2 linked regions of the Oreochromis niloticus genome follow. The protein of the gene in region 1 purifies or fractionates together with the protein of each later gene. This does not show direct contact. Links are inferred from orthologs where the notes say so. Each region holds a gene or a part of one and is shown in the gene's direction. Other genes may lie near its edges. The genes, in order: slc7a14a and golm1.

Region 1 (8,395 bases):
ATACAATTTTTTTTTAAGATGCCACTGAAAGTGCCCTTAATGGGGTGTTAAATCTTTGGGCACTGTGCTTTGGAAACTTTTGCCTTCTTCAAAGAGCCAGGTAAAAAAAAAAATGCCTGTATGTTAAATATAGAGCTGGAGCAAGAGAACCATTTAGCATTTACTTCTCCTACTTCTAAACTTAATTAATGTAAGTTTACAATATCATGAAGCTCAATTTTATCATATAGCTTATACCAATAACCTATTCTTGGTTTGGCCTGCTGTTTTCTGTCAAAGATCTCATGTAATGTTTATTCAACATCAGATTAGGAAGGTAGATTTTTATCATATTATCAGCTTTGTTGTGTTTCATTGTAGAATGAAAGACTAGATCTATCTCTATGTATTGAAATTTAATGAGGCAAACCTGGCTGGCTGCAGACTGAAGAGGATAAGAAAGACTCCAAAAAAAGACAGGACTGCAGTGTCCTCAAAGCTTCTTCAAAGCCAAAGTGTTCAAAAATATATAAAAACACATCTGCTTAGTCCTTCCCTTCTTTTCAGCTCACCCACTCTGTCTGTGTTGCTCCCTTCATGGTGTATCCTCTCCTGTATATCCCTTATTCCTTCTGTTTTAGCTTTCTCTTAACTCATCACATTCCGTTCCGCTAATTTTCACTTCACTTTTTCACTCTTTAAGTTTTTTTTTTCTCGAATCCTCCCTCTTCTTAGCTCTCCTCCATCCAAAGGGAGTAAGAGGACTACTTCTCGAGAATTTGTTGAATAATACATGCCTGTTCGAGCACAGCAGAGCTGAGGAGGCTGACATGGATGGAAGAGAGACTATTGAGCTGGATATAGAGTTTTTATAACGTGTGAATATGGAGCATTTATTATGTTGAGATATGAGCAGACAGGTTCATTACAGGGCGGAATTATAAGATTTGATAAATCTTTTAGATTCTTCCTGGCAAAAGGGAAAATGTGTAAAAGCACACATTTATTTTTAGATGTTTTTAATGAGCGTACAGTCTTTCATAAACATGTTAACAGCCAGTTCAATGTGTTGATGGTTAATCCTCACTTCAAATATGTATAAGCAAAGATATTTACTCTTATCTGACATTTGAGGAAGCAGGATGTGTTTGTGGTCTGTCCATTCCTGCAGATTCAGATCTGTCAGACATAAAGGGTCACTCCTGCCCTGTAGCCCAGTGACCCCATCAGACAGTGTTGAATTATGGGTAGTGGCACTTAGGTCTCACAGCTGTCTCACCGCTTAGGGCACAGTGATAGTGAGTCATCCCTCTCTACCTCTCTTTCTTTTTCACAAACACACACACACACACACACACACACACACACACACACACACACACACACACACACAGCAGCTGGACTGCAGAGTCGCTGACATTTAAAAGTGAAGGAAAAAGCAATGAGTGGGAGCTGGAAAAAAACAGAGCTGCAGCCATGATGGGAACAAACACATCAGAGCACCAAAGACTAGAATAGTCATAGATGTGGCCTACTTGTGTTTAAAGCGAGCCCATTTTTTTTGGCCTGTACTTATTCTCTTTGCTACAGCATGGTTTTTTTTAATGTCAATTTTCAAAACATTTACAATAATTTTAGTCATTAAATCTACTTTAGAGATTAAAGCATCACACTGAATGAAAGCAAATGAAGCAATTACTCCTTAAAACAAAATTTAGGGTGTATTAAAACAACATTCCATTATTTACAGATAAACTCATTACACTAAAGATACTCTTGAATTTTAGTGTAGTCTGGAAATGCCTGTGGGAATAAATATGATTTCACCTGAGATATGAAGATCAGTAGTGAAGCTGAAACATCTGAGATGGCCTTTAGAGAAAGTTTGAAAGCTAGTTTGGATTGAAGAACTACTAAGAGCTGCTTCTCCACTGACCTAAGCAAGTGATAAAAACGCAATAGGTCTAACAGATAAGCCAAATTCAATCCATTCAAACATTCAAAAACAAGATTTTAGCTTTTAGGTGGATATGATTTGCACCCAGTCTCTTAGCCTAGAGCTTAGGTGGCACGTCTCTTGCAATCTATCTGCATTTTTATCTTGAAATGAAATAGGAATAACATTAGATATTTTAAACTAAAATCTAAACATGTGAGAAAACACTTACTTTCACTTATAAGCTAAAAAGATTGATGAAGGCTGATGAAACATGATGAATGTCTAGATTAGACTTCACTGCACAGAAGCTAAAATTATACAGGAAATGTCTTCAGCTGTAATCTTGTAGTCAAGTAGGTCAAATGAATCGACATAACAAACAACAGGAGGCACTGGTGCGTATAATTCTTTGAGATGGGGTTGTTGACATGAGTGAGTTAATTGCCTGCACAAAATATTTTTCTATTTTAATACCTATTCTCTAAACAGATCAAATCTTTCAAGATAATTTTTTTTTTCTTTCAGTTTTGGATCCTTCTTCTGTCACCCGATTTTACTTTAAATTTATGTCTTGGGGGTTTTATTTTATGTTTGAGTAGTATTTTACATCTTAGCCTAATCAGCTCTGATTCTTTTTCAGTCAAACTGTTATCTACCCTTTTGTTTTGCCTGGCTAACGGCGATGCTCTTTTTGGGGGATTTTTGTGTTTAGTTTTGACTGACCCTCCCATCAAGCACAATACAGACTCAACTTTCATTGGATCCTGTTCACATTTATGTTATGATAGAAACTCATAAGCTATGCAAAAACAAAACATTTTTAAAAATCAAAAAAATAAACTGAAATAAGGAAACTGACCTGCTGTCTGAAATCTAAACAAGGCATTTTTAATACAGCAGTGCAAATAACTAATGAAAAATAAACGACAGTAATGTTTAACAGTTTCTTTTAGTCTTGTCGTTTTGTTATTTGGACGTTTGGTGCAAACACCACTTTACACCACTACAGCTTTGCCTGTTATCTGTTTGCAAAATTGCTAAAAAGTTATAAGTTATCTGGATCTAGATCCAGGAATATTTGCAAGTATTCTTTACTGTTGGGAGATGTTGCAAGATACATTTCATGAATATGTTTATTTTATTTATTTATTTATTTCCTTTTTATTTTAAGAGCAGTTTTTCCAGCTGAGAACAATCTCCAGACTAAAATATTTCTTAAAATGATGAGATGTGTTTGCACACCTTTACATCTAGACTCCACAATTGTAATACACAGTATACTGGAGTCAGTAATCAGCACTTCTTTGTCTACAATTAGTCCAATGCGCCACAGCTAGATTACTGACTGGAACTGCAAAACAAAGAAAGATATCAAATTGCTCCAGTGTCGGCGCTGTTTGCATTACATAATCCAGAATGAAGTGATACTGTTTGTTTTTCAAGCCTTATATAGTCTTGAACATGTATTTGTTGTACCCATAGATTCCATAAACTAAGGTCTGCTTCCCACTCAGTATTGCCCACCTACCCTCGAAGCTCATTTCAAAACAGGGTTGTGCCTTTGCTGTTATTGCACCAAGACTCTGGAATAATCTCCCAACCTTATATGAGCATCAACTGTGGCTGCTTCTAAATTCAAGATAAAGTCTACCTTTTTTGTCAAGCTCTTGGAAGTGGCTCATTTCTGGAACTGTGGTTGGAGGACAGGTTGTTGCTGTATTATTTTATGCAAACTGTGCAATTATGTGTAGCATGAAGTTTAAGGAACCCTTTTATTTTTCATTTGTTATTCATTTTTATTGTAAAGCACTTTCAGATATAAATAAAAATTACTTAATGTCTTGGCAGCAACAGAGAATTTTGTTTGTTCGTTTTTCCTAAAAATCATCAAGTCAACGTATATGTTGGCATATCTGTAAAGAAATATCGCTGATAAACAAGTGTTAAGCTCTGTGTCGGCTTAATGGCTGCTGACATTGGTGAGTTGGAGAACAGGTTATTCACTGGCAATGTTGATGTTGCACAGGAAGTCAAATATACAGCCTTTGTCTCTCTTTCTCCTCAACATACTCAAATACACACAATGACATAAACAAGCTATCTATGGCAAACAACATAGCCATCTGTTGAATATTTGATCAGAGACCAGTGCAGGCTTAATAATTTAGCAACAGGCCTTTGCGTGACTCTCACTGCTAGTGAATGTTGGGTCCTCTTGGCACACTAGGAATCAATTCTGCCACTTGACTAGAAACTATTCAACAGCTGTCTAAATCTGATATCATTATATTTTACAGGCATGCCTGAATACCACCTGCTTTACATTGTGAAAGATGATTTGTTACTGCAGATCTGTTTGGTAGTTTCATGATATACTGATAATCGGCACGATAAAATTATAAAGTACTAAAACCAGCATGAAAATATTAAACCTATTTAAGCTCTCTTTACTAATTTTGGAACTAAAAAAAAAGGTAATTCCTGTAGTCTTAAAAGCAAATATTTCCTTAGTGAGTTGAAGTTATTTCTTGCATACTAAGAGTTGTAATATTATGTACTGTAGTAGATTAAAACCCCTTATCCTTTATACTTAAAAAATGTTATAGCTAAATTATTCTTCAGTTGTTAATCTGGGATGCTGGTTTTATACCCTCGTTTTATGTTACTGGCCTGGACAAAACTTTTCTAGTCTTTGAGCACATATGTTCAGCATAAATGAACAGTAATAACGAATGTTCTCCATTTCATTCGAATACGATACGAATGTTAATTTTAGGCATATTGTGGGCGTACTGTAGTGATAATCCTTGTGTCATGGCTGGATCAGTGTAAGTCACGGGAGGGGGGGTGGACTGCAACGGTGATGTCCGGTCAGCTTGGTGTCTTGGCCGGTCAGGAAATAAACCGGATGAATAATACACAGTGTCGACGGTCACATGTCGTGCAGCGGGCTCCTGAATGATTTAAAGCTTTTTACATCATCAGCCTCACCCTCCCTCCCGCTCTGTCTGCCGCTGATGCACCGCGCAGCCCGGAGATGCTGCTGCTGATGCTGGTGACCGACTGCAGCATCCGACATGGGTATCCTCTAATCCGGCCGTGCCACAGTGAGTGTTTTTCCTTCGCTTTTCTCCCCTCTGTTCTCCTTACCATCGTGTTATCTTAAACTTGATCACCTTCCACCCTCCTCCTTCGTTTATCACCTATCCACCCTTCCTCTTCCCCCACCCTTTTTTGTTGTCTTCCTTTGTGCAGTTTTTTCACGAGTGATGGCGCATTATAACGTGGCGAAAACCGTGCGTCTTTCCTATAGGGAGTGTGTTTATGATTTCGCGGAGTGGACGGAATGGTCGGTCAATGGTCCCGTCCTGTCACCTTAACGGTGAGCGTCTTTACCTAAGAGAGAGAAAAAAGGGGGAAGGCAGAGTTTAGGGCGGGTATCGCTTCTCCCAGCGGACTAGAGCTGCAGGAGGCTATGCTTGGAGGGTCGAGAGGAGGACAGGACAAGACAAAGTGGCGACTGGGACCCACATGAAAGAGGGTGGGTTCTTTAATTGAGAACATTTGCAGTTTTTAGTATGTATGCGGTTATTACCTATCTAGACTGTTGGCTCAGTGGGTGTGTCGGAGAAAGAGAAGATATGCCATAATTAGAGTTAGACTTGATCTTTATGATCAGGGCAGGGTAGGAAAAATAAAGCTTTATAGATTTTATCCATGAACACTGTATCGTATGTGGACATTCTAGTTTTGTTTTGGAACATCTATCTATCTGTCTATCTGTCTGTCTATTTGTCTATATATCTGTCTGTCCAGTAAAACAAACTATTATGTTACTTGATTCGTGTGTGTGTGTGAGGACAAGAGCACTAAAGCTTCAACCAGTTCAACTAGGCTAATCCCTAATGACATGGCCAGATCGCTCTCTCTCTTTCTCGTTCTTTCTCTCTCATTTGCCATAAGGCCTTGTCTCTTTTTTTCTGCTCTTAATTCTTTAAAAAACACACTTGTGGTGTCGTGCTGTCCATGGTGCTGAAAGCAGTCGTCTGCAGATGGCTTGCTAATACGCTGAAGCTTGATGGCCCTGTCATCGCTCAACAGGTGCCTTTTACTGCTACAGCTACACAGAAATAAGGGAAGTTAATTTCAGTTGTAACTCTGTCATTTAAAACGGGCGTTGTGATTGCATGCACTCTGAGGTTTTCTCTGAAATGGCATGCTCCTGACACAGAAGCAATTAATTTGCCAACATGGAATTATACAATTCAAAGGGCAGTGGGCATTGCAAAATTACTGCTTTTTAACACACATTATTTTACAGATTTTAAATGGCAGTTTGGGTTTGCGATACTGCTCTGAATTTCAGGACATATCAATAAGCAAAAAATCTTGGGATGATTATCATAGAATCAAGTAGTAAAAATGTATAAATATTAATATCTGATCAATATTAATACTTAATAATAAAGTATTAATAATAATTAATACTTTACTATTTCAAACAGAAAAATCTATGCAAGCTGGATAGGCAGTAAACGTTCAGAAGCTCCTAGCATTTAAGTCAAAAGCAGTCCATCCAAACCAGTGAATGGACATCCGAGAGCAAAATGAAAACCATGTTGATGCCAATGCTGATGATTGAGTTGCTGAAAACAACAATAAGAAGTAGAAGCAGAAGATTATATAACAGACCAATTTAGAAACTGCACTTTGTCTGTCTGCATATCCCTCACACACTCTGTCAAACAGCCTCCAGCATATCCAGGTCTCACATTGGAGGATGAAGTCACATGTAGAGACACACCATCAGAGGAGCTTGAGGGGCAGTCGTTCCTTGCTTAAGGGCACTTTAGCAGTAACAAAGGTTAAGAGTGGGGCATCTGCCCCCTCCCCTCCTTTTATATTTCCTTTGCACTGACTGAATGTTATCATGTTGAAGAGATGTTGTGAAATTGCAGCTGAATGAAGAGGATAAGGCACAGCTCATTTGTTGGTGACGTTTATTGAGCATTTCTGTCTTTAGCTGTCTTCACAAAATAACTCCAGACAGTGTTAGAAGAATCACAGGACACAGCAGGAGACTGTCTGCTTCAGATGTGTTCTCACTACTGGAAATAAAATGTTTAAGGTCGGGATGCACTTGCAGGAAGAAGGATATAAGATGGCCACTACTTGGCTCTGATTTCACTGGACTATTGTCTTCATCGATCTCATATTGGCACAATAAACTTGAAACAGATTTGTACTAGCGAGCTGACATGTCAAAGAGTGCTTGATTACTAATACGACTGCACTTTACATGTGCATTCTCATGCATACGTTGGATAATGTTTAGAGAAGTCGATATCTACGGTGCATGTGTGATAATGGCTTTTATTAGATAACAATAGTGGAGATGTGGCAAAGGAGGGGCGGAAAAATGGTTCTTTCAATGCAGTAAAGTAGTTTAATAAGTGTTTAAAATATTTTGTATATAATTATTTACTTATCTATTTATTTTGTCAGCCTTTAATGTATCTGCTTGTACTAATGCTGTTGTAATGAAAACACTTTATTGATGCCACGTCTTTAGGGTACCATTCATAAACTTATATGGGTTTTTTCACGTGTTACGAGTTCTTTGTGTTACAAATTTTAAACAATGCAATACATAAACTAACAATGCACTCTTAACCTAGATGATGCAACATTTGATAAAGCTGCCATTTTTGGGTGGTGTAGCTGGGTTGAGCAGACGACACATATATCTTAAGGCTACTGCAGAGGCTTGTGGGTTCATATGTGTGCCGAGGCTATTTATTGCATGTCTCCCCACTGCTCTCTCCCAAGATTCTTGCCCTGCATCGACAAAGGCTAACAAATTGTCATTTTTTTCTGAAGTATCGATTAAATAAAACTAGCAAATGCTGAAATGTGTGGAAGTGCAAGTAAAAAAGGGATAAGAAAATAAACAAACAGACTTATTAATCAAAAGCTTTCTGACTCTTGCCCCAGAGACTAGCTGGTCGTGTCAGATCTAGTAAGGCTTTAGCAATGAAACCCCTGAATCTGAATATTGCATTCACATAAATAATATATGTTTTATTTTCAATTTCAAAACCACACTGTCTTGCTCCTGTTCAAGGCTTTAGACGCAGGCAGGAACTATGTAACTGCAGAGGTTATGAAATGCTACTGGTCTCTCATTCATTTTTATTAGCAATAATGGGCGCTGACAGAAGAGTTGTGAGTGTGTGTGTGTGCGTGTGATAGATACAAGACACATACAAAAAAGGGAATTGATATTTATTTTTAAAATCTTTATTTGCCTTCAGCACAAAATATTTCTGGTATATTGCAAATAACTGCTTTTGAATAGAATATGAGCAGCACAGTGATGCACTGTTAAGCACACAACAATAGAGTTATGGGTTTGAATCCAGCAGCTAGCTGCGGCCTGTGTGGAGTCCCTGTGCTCTCACTTTCCTAGCCTGAGTA
Region 2 (8,877 bases), on another chromosome or scaffold:
GGCTTGTTTGGAAGTGCTGCCAGAAGAAAGCCTCTTCTCTCTAAAAACATGGCAGCATGGCTTTGGTTTACAAATTATTATCCAAAGACCGCAAGAAAACACCTCATACAAGTTATCAAGCATGGTGGTGCAGGTGTAATGATGTGGGCCTCAGGACCTGGGTACCTGTTGACCACAAACTGCTCTGTACAAAAAGTATTCTGGAGTTAAATGTGAGGCCATCTGTCTGACGGCTAAAGCTTGGTTGTAGCTTGGTAATGCAATAGGATAATGATTCCAAGCTGCAGCAACAAATCTACAGCAGAATGGCTGAAAAAAAAAAAAGAAATCAAAGTTTTGTAAAATTACAGTCAAATTCAAGATCTCAATCTGATTAAAATTATGTGGCGAGAACCTAATACGCTGCACATGAACAACTGCCTGCTTTACATCTATATATATTTCTACATATATAAATATCTAGCAGATGGTAGATAACGGTCATTTCTTTGCTGCACATGATTATTACGAAGAACATTTTTAGAGTTTTTAACATGTCACCACCTTTCCCCCTTTGTTTTGAATTACACCAAACATGGATTTTTGATGGATTATCATGATTTATATTGTAAATAAAATGGTTTTTATATCGTGCTTTTCTACTCTACTTAAGCACTCATTATACAACTTGTGTCATTCACCCAATCTACAGGTACGTTTTTTCTGTGAATGCATATGTCGAACTTACTAACCTTCCAATTAGTAGGTGACCTCTATCTCTGGAGCTATAGCCACCCCTTGTAGAAAAAGTCAATCTGCTTACTAGTGTTGTGCATCTTTTCTTCTCTGTATTCACAGTTGTAACATTTACCAGAAGAAACGAAAAGGCCGACGAGCAGCAGACGGGCTTATTGCAGGAAGACTCCAGTGATGACGAGTCGCCCAACAGAAGGTATAATGTCATTCAGTACCAAGAATATAGTTGATTAGTGTTAAAATGAATCTGAATAATATTGTGTTTTAAAAGAATGCTAACAGTCCCTCTCTGTCGCACTGTGTTACTGTGTTTAATGCTGTAGATCCACAGGAGGAAGTTACCTCACTCTGTCACCTCCAGTGAAGGGCGTGTTTGACGACGTGTGATGCACGAAGGACCTGGAGGGAAATCAAAAAGCTAATATGTGCTGTAAATAGAATAAATGATTCAAATGGAACATTTTCTGCAAAGGGAAGTCTGAATGCAGATAATTCACTCTTAAGAAAAAAAACGTAAAGATGTAAAATATAACTTTAATAAAGGGTTTTATATCAACAGCATAAATACAGGTGGTATTTATAGCGATCGGTAACTAGAAGGACTTCTTAACACATGTGTGTAAATGCGTGCTTGATATTGTTATGTTGTATAATAAAATTGGTGGATAATAGACCTCATAGTATGTGCATAGATTTTATATTTATTTAATTTGAAATTCAATTCTTGTGCCTAAAGCAAAATGTCAAAGAGAATATATCAAAAACATAAACATGTTTAAAGTTGTTTTCAACTGTATCTGCTAAATAGCATCATTTTCATGTGGTGCAGTCTCCAGGCATCTATTTATACAATTTAGAACTGTTCGACTGTTATTGTATAATTAAAACATAATGTTTTTGCGTGTACTTTATCTGCTGTTGGATTTTGAGTGACCTAAAATATATAAAGACATATACATCGTGAGGATTCTCTCTTACTGGTACGCTCATCAGAGCATGCAGGTTAAATGGGGAAGTAGTATTTCTGCCCCCTTTGGTGTCAGCAATGGTGTCAGACAGGGTGGGATTTTGTCTCCAATTTTATTTAATCTATATGTTGATGATCTGTCCATGCAGCTGAGAGCCTGTAACACTGGGTGTATATTAGGTAAAACACTGATAAATCATCTTATGTATGCAGATGACCTGGTTGTTTTTAGTCCAAGCAGTGCTGGGTTGCAGGATCTTCTTAATGTCTGTACTGAATATGGTGTGCAATATGACATAGAGTACAATGCTGCTAAAAGTGCTGTTTTGATATGTAGAACCAAGCAGGATAAACAGCTAAATTTCCCTTTGTTTAAACTGGCCCAAAAAACTCTTGAAGTTCATAAAAAGGTGAAATACCTCGGTCACTTTATTACTGAGGAAATGAATGATGATGATGACATTTACAGACAACGATGTAAGCTCTATGTGCAGGCAAATACTATTGCACGCAAATTCAGCTTTTGTTCACTTCCAGTTAAAGTGGCTTTGTTTAAAGCGTATTGCACACCGCTATATACTGCCCCCTTGTGGTCATCCTACAAACAATGTAGCATGCAGAAGCTGCATGTTGCATATAATGATGCGATGAGAATCCTTTGCAGGATACCTAGAAGTGGTAGTGCCAGTCAGATGTTTGTAGCTGTGGGTGTTTGGACTTTTAAAGCACTTTTAAGAAAGTTAATGTACAATTTTAGAGAACGACTGGATGGTTCAAGTAACAGTATAATTTTAGCACTTACAGATCCGACACTGAGTGGTTCCCGTTACTCATCCAGTCTGAGAAAGCACTGGTTAAAGTGTTTGTGTATTTATTGATTTATTTTAAGTAATTGTGTTTTATGTATATTATGGTTTTATATTTTTACAAATTTTTTACAAATGTTTTATATTTTTACTAATGTTTTATATACTTATTTATCTATATATAGATATATATGTGTGTGTGTGTGTGTGTGTGTGTGTTTCTGTCTTGTTTTTTATGGACATGAAGTCTGCTAATAAAGATTGAATTGAAATAAAGCAGCATCCCAAGATGTCCTTTATAGCCCTTTTTTCAAATGTCACCATGTTTATTTTACCACATGGCCTGAGGGTTGTTGTTTTTTTTCTTTTAAATAGATAATTATTGCAAGAGAATTGTTTGCAAATATATGGAGAGAGGTTTATACTGTAATTCCATGAGTGTACAGAGTTTTGTTTTTTGTTTTCGTTTTTTTACATGTATTTTTTGCAGCCCTCTGCATGTCCTAATGACAGAATTTGTCCAATATATCCATTATCCCTTTCAAACAGATTGCCTCTCTAACTCTTTCTCCACACCACTCAACCTGATCTGTTCTTCTCATCTACTCTTTTCTCATCCTGGTCACTCCCAGTTCGAGGATCTTCAGCTCTGCCACGTCCAGCTTGGGCGGCTGACTTTTGCTAGTGCAATGCATACCTCCACCTCTCCAGGCATTCTTCCACCTGCTCTAACAATAGAGCACAATGTTGTCTGCAAACATAAGTCCTGCCCATCATCACTAAAAACAAGAAAGGGCTCAGAGCTGAATCTCTGAGTCAGGCCCACCCTTAGTTTGAGCCCATCTGTCACTTCTACCACATAACTTACCACTGTCTCGCTGTCTTCATACATGTCCTGCACCATGCTCATATACTTCTTTACCACTCCTGACTTCCTCGTGGAGTACCAAAATTCCTCTCTTGAAACCCTATCGTAAGTGCTGAGAGAGTGCAACTTCTTATGACGCTCTCTATACATCTCCATCAACACTCTTAAGGCAAACATAGCACATGAAGCACACTGGCTTCATGCTATGGCTTATTACCTTTATTCTTCTGTAGTTAATACAGCTCTTCACATTATCCTTGTTCTTGAAGTACCGTGCAGTTCTCTATTCTTCAGGCATCCTCTGAAATTGAATTAAACAATCAGGTTAAAGTCCATTGCCCTCTCTCTCTGACTTCTCCATACCTCCACAGGTATGTCATCTGGACCTTTCCTGTTTCCATTCTCTTGATAGATCCTCTCATTTCCTCATTATTTCTCTGCACTTCCTGATCCACTAACTTAACTTCATCTGTTCCCCATTTCATTTTTTCTTCATCAGCTTCTCAAAATACTTCTCAACACACCATCTTACATCTCTTGTTGAAATATATACGTTGACTCCATATTTATGTTATAATTAGCCATAATCATAAAGTTTGTCAACTTGAAAAATCAATTAATGCAATCTGAATAAGACAAATGTTGTTTAATTTTAAAATATTAAATGTATTTTTTCCAAAAAAAAAAGATTCAAAAGAAGTCAAAAGACAAACGGGATAAAGAAGTAATATTAGTTTATTTCTTTTTTCTTCATGAAAATTGTCATTAAGTTTCAAAACCATTAAACCATAAAAAAGAAAGACAATGCACAAGAAAAAACAAAATTATACTAAAATGTAACTCAAAATAGACAGAGAAAGGAGCACTCTTCCTTGCATGACCAAAAAAACAACACCAGTTCTATGAGGTTAGAACGATGCCACCTTAAAATGAAACTGGAAAAAAATATTGAAACTGAAAAAAACAGAAACATAAAAAATTGAAACTGAAAAATTTTACAGTTTCAATTAATCTTTTATCACTATCAATTTTTTCACTTTCAATACAAAATTTTTCAGTACATTTATTTCATTTACAATATTTTTTTTTTTCAGTTTCAATATTTTTTTCAGTTTTATTTTAAGGTGGCATCGTTCTAACCCCATACAGTTCCCACTTAAATGATAAAAGTCACACTTCAGATCAGGCCCAAGAAAGAAAGAAAGAAAGGCTGGGTAGAGAAATCCCTATCCTGCTTACATTAGTTTATCTATAAATAATATAATATTTTATTGTTTAGTTTTTAATTAATGTTTTACATGTATTAATATTTTTAATATACCTACATTTATTATTTAAATCTTATTTAACATGATATGACACGTTAATGTTACAGATGCAGAGGACCGGTTGACCGTTGCCGGTGATGCCTTTCTAGGCACTTCGTAAAAAACAAATTCTTAGATCTTAAAGTAGCCTAGACTACCAGTCTCTCAGTATTTATTACTTGACAGCAGTCAAAAGCAAACTGTTTCGAAGCTGATATTGCAAAATACTTTAGGGTTTAGGGGGATTTCGTTGTCTATTAATTTATTTATGTGAAACTAAATATGATTTGTTTTTACAGCAATCCGAGGAAGTACTTGAACGTCTCAGTCATAGGCAGCAGGCAGAGCACACAGACTGAGCTGTCTGTGTGGCAATGATGGATACAAGCTAATCGTCCGACGTTGACGGTCTACGAAAGCTGTTAGAATATAAAACGAGGTGTCACTCCATATATCGCCTCACGGATTTGGCTCTGATTTCTGACAGGCAGACATATCCGGTAAGTAGGTTCGGCTGCTAGTTTTAGCTAAGCGACCTAAAAACGGTAACAGCAACTGTGAAGGAGCAGCGCTGCTAACAATGTTAGCGTTAGCTTGCAGCGTAGAGTTCCTTCGCTTCTTCTTTCAGCACTGGCCCAAATAAGAAGAAAATGTGGCCATTTCTTTACACGTTTATGTAGCTTTGTCACATATTTAATAAATAATATACATAAAAAAAATTCGAAGTTAGTATTTCTGCTTTCTCTTGACCTGAATTTGCCTAATCGATTATACGAAGGACCCATTTTTCTCGAGTTGTTCCGTGTTATCGCCACCGTCACGATACGGGTGGCTCTGATTTATACTGCCAAACACAACACAGGTATACCCTGGCTCCAGGCCTGTGTTGTGATTTAGTAGTACACATCAGATTTTTCTAACGTGATATTAAATTGAAGGTTAGCTGGTTGTTCGTTTTGTTACTAATTGCGCTGTCACATGTTAAACAGTTCTTTGCGCCTTTGCAATCCTTTGGTCATTTGATTGACTAAGGAGAATCACGGAGAATCACGGAAAGCAGGAATCCGCATCGACAGTATGTATTACAAACTAGGCAATACGGCACTTCGTCGGTGATGTGTAGTGCTGCTCTTTAGTATGTAGTTGTTGCATTTTAGCTCCCGTTGGTCCTTGGGAATGTCCTTCTAGCTTGTTTGTTTTTTCCCTTCCCCATTAAAAACATTTTAACTGAGTCACCACTTTTGAGCACATCTTTTTGCTGTCTGTGGTGCTGGGTATGTTTCAGTGTGACACCGTACAGGTGTGTAATATTTGTAAACATAACACCAAAGCTGTGTATGTGTTGTTTCCAACAGAATCACTCAACATACTGTTGTCTGTATGTATGTGCAAATAACATTTCCTGTGTAAGCTTTTTGTGTTTTTGCTGACACAAAAGCTGCAACAACCGACAGCGAGCTTTTTTTTTTTACATGTCTGCAACCAACTTGCAAAACCACCACCTTTTTGCCAGAAATGCACAGAAAATATGTGTTTAAAAGATGCAGTTAGAAAATAAAGTGTGGAGAAGTGTGCTAACCGTGGGCTACTTTGTGTGTTTTCAGTTGGTAGACAGCAATGGGTGGGCTGGGGAACGGGCGTCGTGGAGGAAGGTCACCGCCTCTTATGATTGCCGCTCTGATCGCCTGTATCTTGGTTCTGGGCTTTAACTACTGGGTGTCCAGCTCCCGCAACCTGGAGCTTCAGGTGGGTTAAAAAGTATTCAAACTCTTCCTCATTTCTTATTTCTTTTGCATAATTATCATGCTTACAGGTTTAAAAAAATTTTTTGTTTTTACGTCTTTCTCTAATAGTACTTACTTTGATGTTGCGTTACATGTGTTTTATTTTACCAATATAAATGTGCCAAGAACTGTTCTCGCTTACTGACTTAAAAGAAAATATAAATACTGTCATAATTTGGAGACCTGTGTGACCTTGTAATGATTGCACCAATTCTAACTTTATTCTTTTTTTCTTTCACAATCACCATTCACACATAACTTTGAAAAGGAGTGTCTCCTTTCTTGTAAAATACCTAGAAGTTAGGCAAGGTTTATACTACCTTGCCCTAACTGAAGCAAGTGAGACCTGCAGTTCTTTAGATGTTGTTCTGGGTTCCTTTATGACCTCCTGGATGAACTTTAAGGCGCTCTTGGTGTAATGTTGGTAGGCTGGCCACTCCTGGGAAGGTTCACCACTGTTCCAGGTTTTCTTCAATTGTGAAAAATGGCTCTCACAGTGTTTCACTTAGACGTGGCTTTGTAACACTTTTCAGACTGATAGATGTAAGTGACTCAACTCCATTGAGAGTTTTTGAGTTTTCTTTAGATTGCGACATGATGTGTTGCTGCTTGAGATATTTTAGCCTACTTCCCTTTGTCAGATAGGTTTTATTTTTTTCAGTCCAGTTTTTATTGTTGTTTAATATATTGCATTAAATGGCAAGAAATTCAGAAATTTCTGTCAAATAAGGTTAGAAAGACTCCTGTTTTAGCTTATTAGACACAGAAAATAAGGTAACACATGCATGTGTAACTATATATATCTGTATGCATAGTTAACCCTTAAAGACTCATTCTGAACCAGGAAGTTTCTGTCATTTTGTTCTCTTCATATGGATGTTATCATGACCCATGACAAATTCTAAATAAGTGGCCTATATAAAAAGCAGTAACGTGATACTGATCTTGCTGCATGTGACACAGACTAAACTGTATGAGCTGGAGGGCCAGGTGCGACGTGGAGCAGCAGAGCGAGGAGCAGACGAGATGAAGAAGAAGGAGTTCGAGCAGGAGATCCAGAAACAAAAGGATCAGATCAGCAACATACAAAGTCTCTATAAGAGACAGTTGGAGGGAGCTGAGAACACCTGCAGCCAACACAAGGTGCATACAAACAAAACTGGTGACAAAAAACCTTTATGTGCACAAACGCTACCTCAGAGGTGCTGTCTATCAGCTCTTGTCACAAGGGAATCTATGGGCAATAAACACACTTTTCTGACTTACTCACTGTTGCGGTTCACACCAAATAAACAACTTATCAGGGAAAATTTTCATATGAACTATAAATAAGTGTGATAAGTGAGTATTGACATGCGTTGTGTGTTTGTGTTTAGGCCACACTGCAGCAGAACATTTCCTCCAGTGCAAAAACCATACAGGAGCTCAAAGGTAACGTAATGTTTAGCTTGTTGTAAGTGTTGCTTTGACTTAGCAACCATCACATGGCCGCTGAAAAACTGTGCACTTAATTTCATGTATGTGTTTGTGTGTACTGTAGGTCAGCTGAATCGGCTGAATGATGCTCTGGGGAAACTTGAGAAAGATCTGCAGAGTTGCCAAGGCAACATCAACACCCTTAATAACAAACTTATGTATGACATGTAAGAAAATGATTCATTATTATTATTTATTATTATTATTATCATTATTTTGTGCAGAGTTATATTTGTCGTTTGTAAAGAAAGTATGATCACTGTACATGCCACTATAATATGCTACTGTTTACCGTCTGTTTGTTGTGCATATAGGACCCAGTGTAACGCCCAGGTGCTGTCCCAGAAAGAGCTGTGCGATGAGAGAGTGGCTGCCGCTAAACTTGAAGCTGACAAGAAAATGCAGAAGCTCATCCATACACCTGTCTCCTCACAGGTGGGTTTGGCTTTCCTGTTTAGCAGTGAAGCATGTGAAAGGATGCAAAGTCATTAGTCTTTCCATATGATTGAGACTTGGGCCGAGGGGTGGAGCTGATTTTTTTTTTTTTTTTTTTTTTTGTCACCAACCCCGTTTATGTTAATCAGGACAAAGCAAAATCTTAATGTCTGAAAACATTTTCCTACTATACATGATTATCGTCACTACTGTTTTTACATGCAAATGGGGAAATTGACTTCCTTTTGCTCGTGTTTGTTTGCGGATCCAGGCAAAAAAAAAAAAAAAAAAAAAAACCCTTATATTTCTGCATGGCAGGAGCTATGGAGCTGTGACACAGCATTTTATATTCATTTCTTAGCAGGAAAATGTTGGAGGAGTGGAAATCAACAAATCAGTCAAGGCCCTGTCTGATGGAATTCCAGCAACTGCTTCAAGCCAAACACCAAGTCTCTCTCAACTGAAAGGAAATAAAGTTCATGAACTACTGACAAATGAA

The links.
Region 2: the proteins of slc7a14a (region 1) and golm1 purify together in Homo sapiens (co-immunoprecipitation; 3 studies listed by BioGRID and IntAct, with this or other methods). This does not show direct contact. The link is inferred for Oreochromis niloticus from reciprocal best matches to the Homo sapiens genes SLC7A14 and GOLM1.

What each region holds. Positions count from the first base shown.
Region 1 is NC_031983.2:19,686,816-19,695,210, reverse strand, and holds the start of slc7a14a (putative cationic amino acid transporter), read left to right. Parts: upstream 1-4,759; 5' UTR 4,760-5,025; intron 5,026-5,173; 5' UTR 5,174-5,300; intron 5,301-5,322; exon of another isoform or gene 5,323-5,459; intron 5,460-8,395. UniProt on the Homo sapiens protein: Imports 4-aminobutanoate (GABA) into lysosomes. May act as a GABA sensor that regulates mTORC2-dependent INS signaling and gluconeogenesis. The transport mechanism and substrate selectivity remain to be elucidated.
Region 2 is NC_031977.2:20,711,004-20,719,880, forward strand, and holds the start of golm1 (Golgi membrane protein 1), read left to right. Parts: upstream 1-4,999; 5' UTR 5,000-5,183; intron 5,184-6,287; 5' UTR 6,288-6,300; coding exon 6,301-6,429; intron 6,430-7,430; coding exon 7,431-7,610; intron 7,611-7,843; coding exon 7,844-7,898; intron 7,899-8,007; coding exon 8,008-8,110; intron 8,111-8,257; coding exon 8,258-8,378; intron 8,379-8,739; coding exon 8,740-8,877. Other genes in the region: LMBR1 domain-containing protein 2-B, read left to right, coding at 838-931, 1,059-1,122.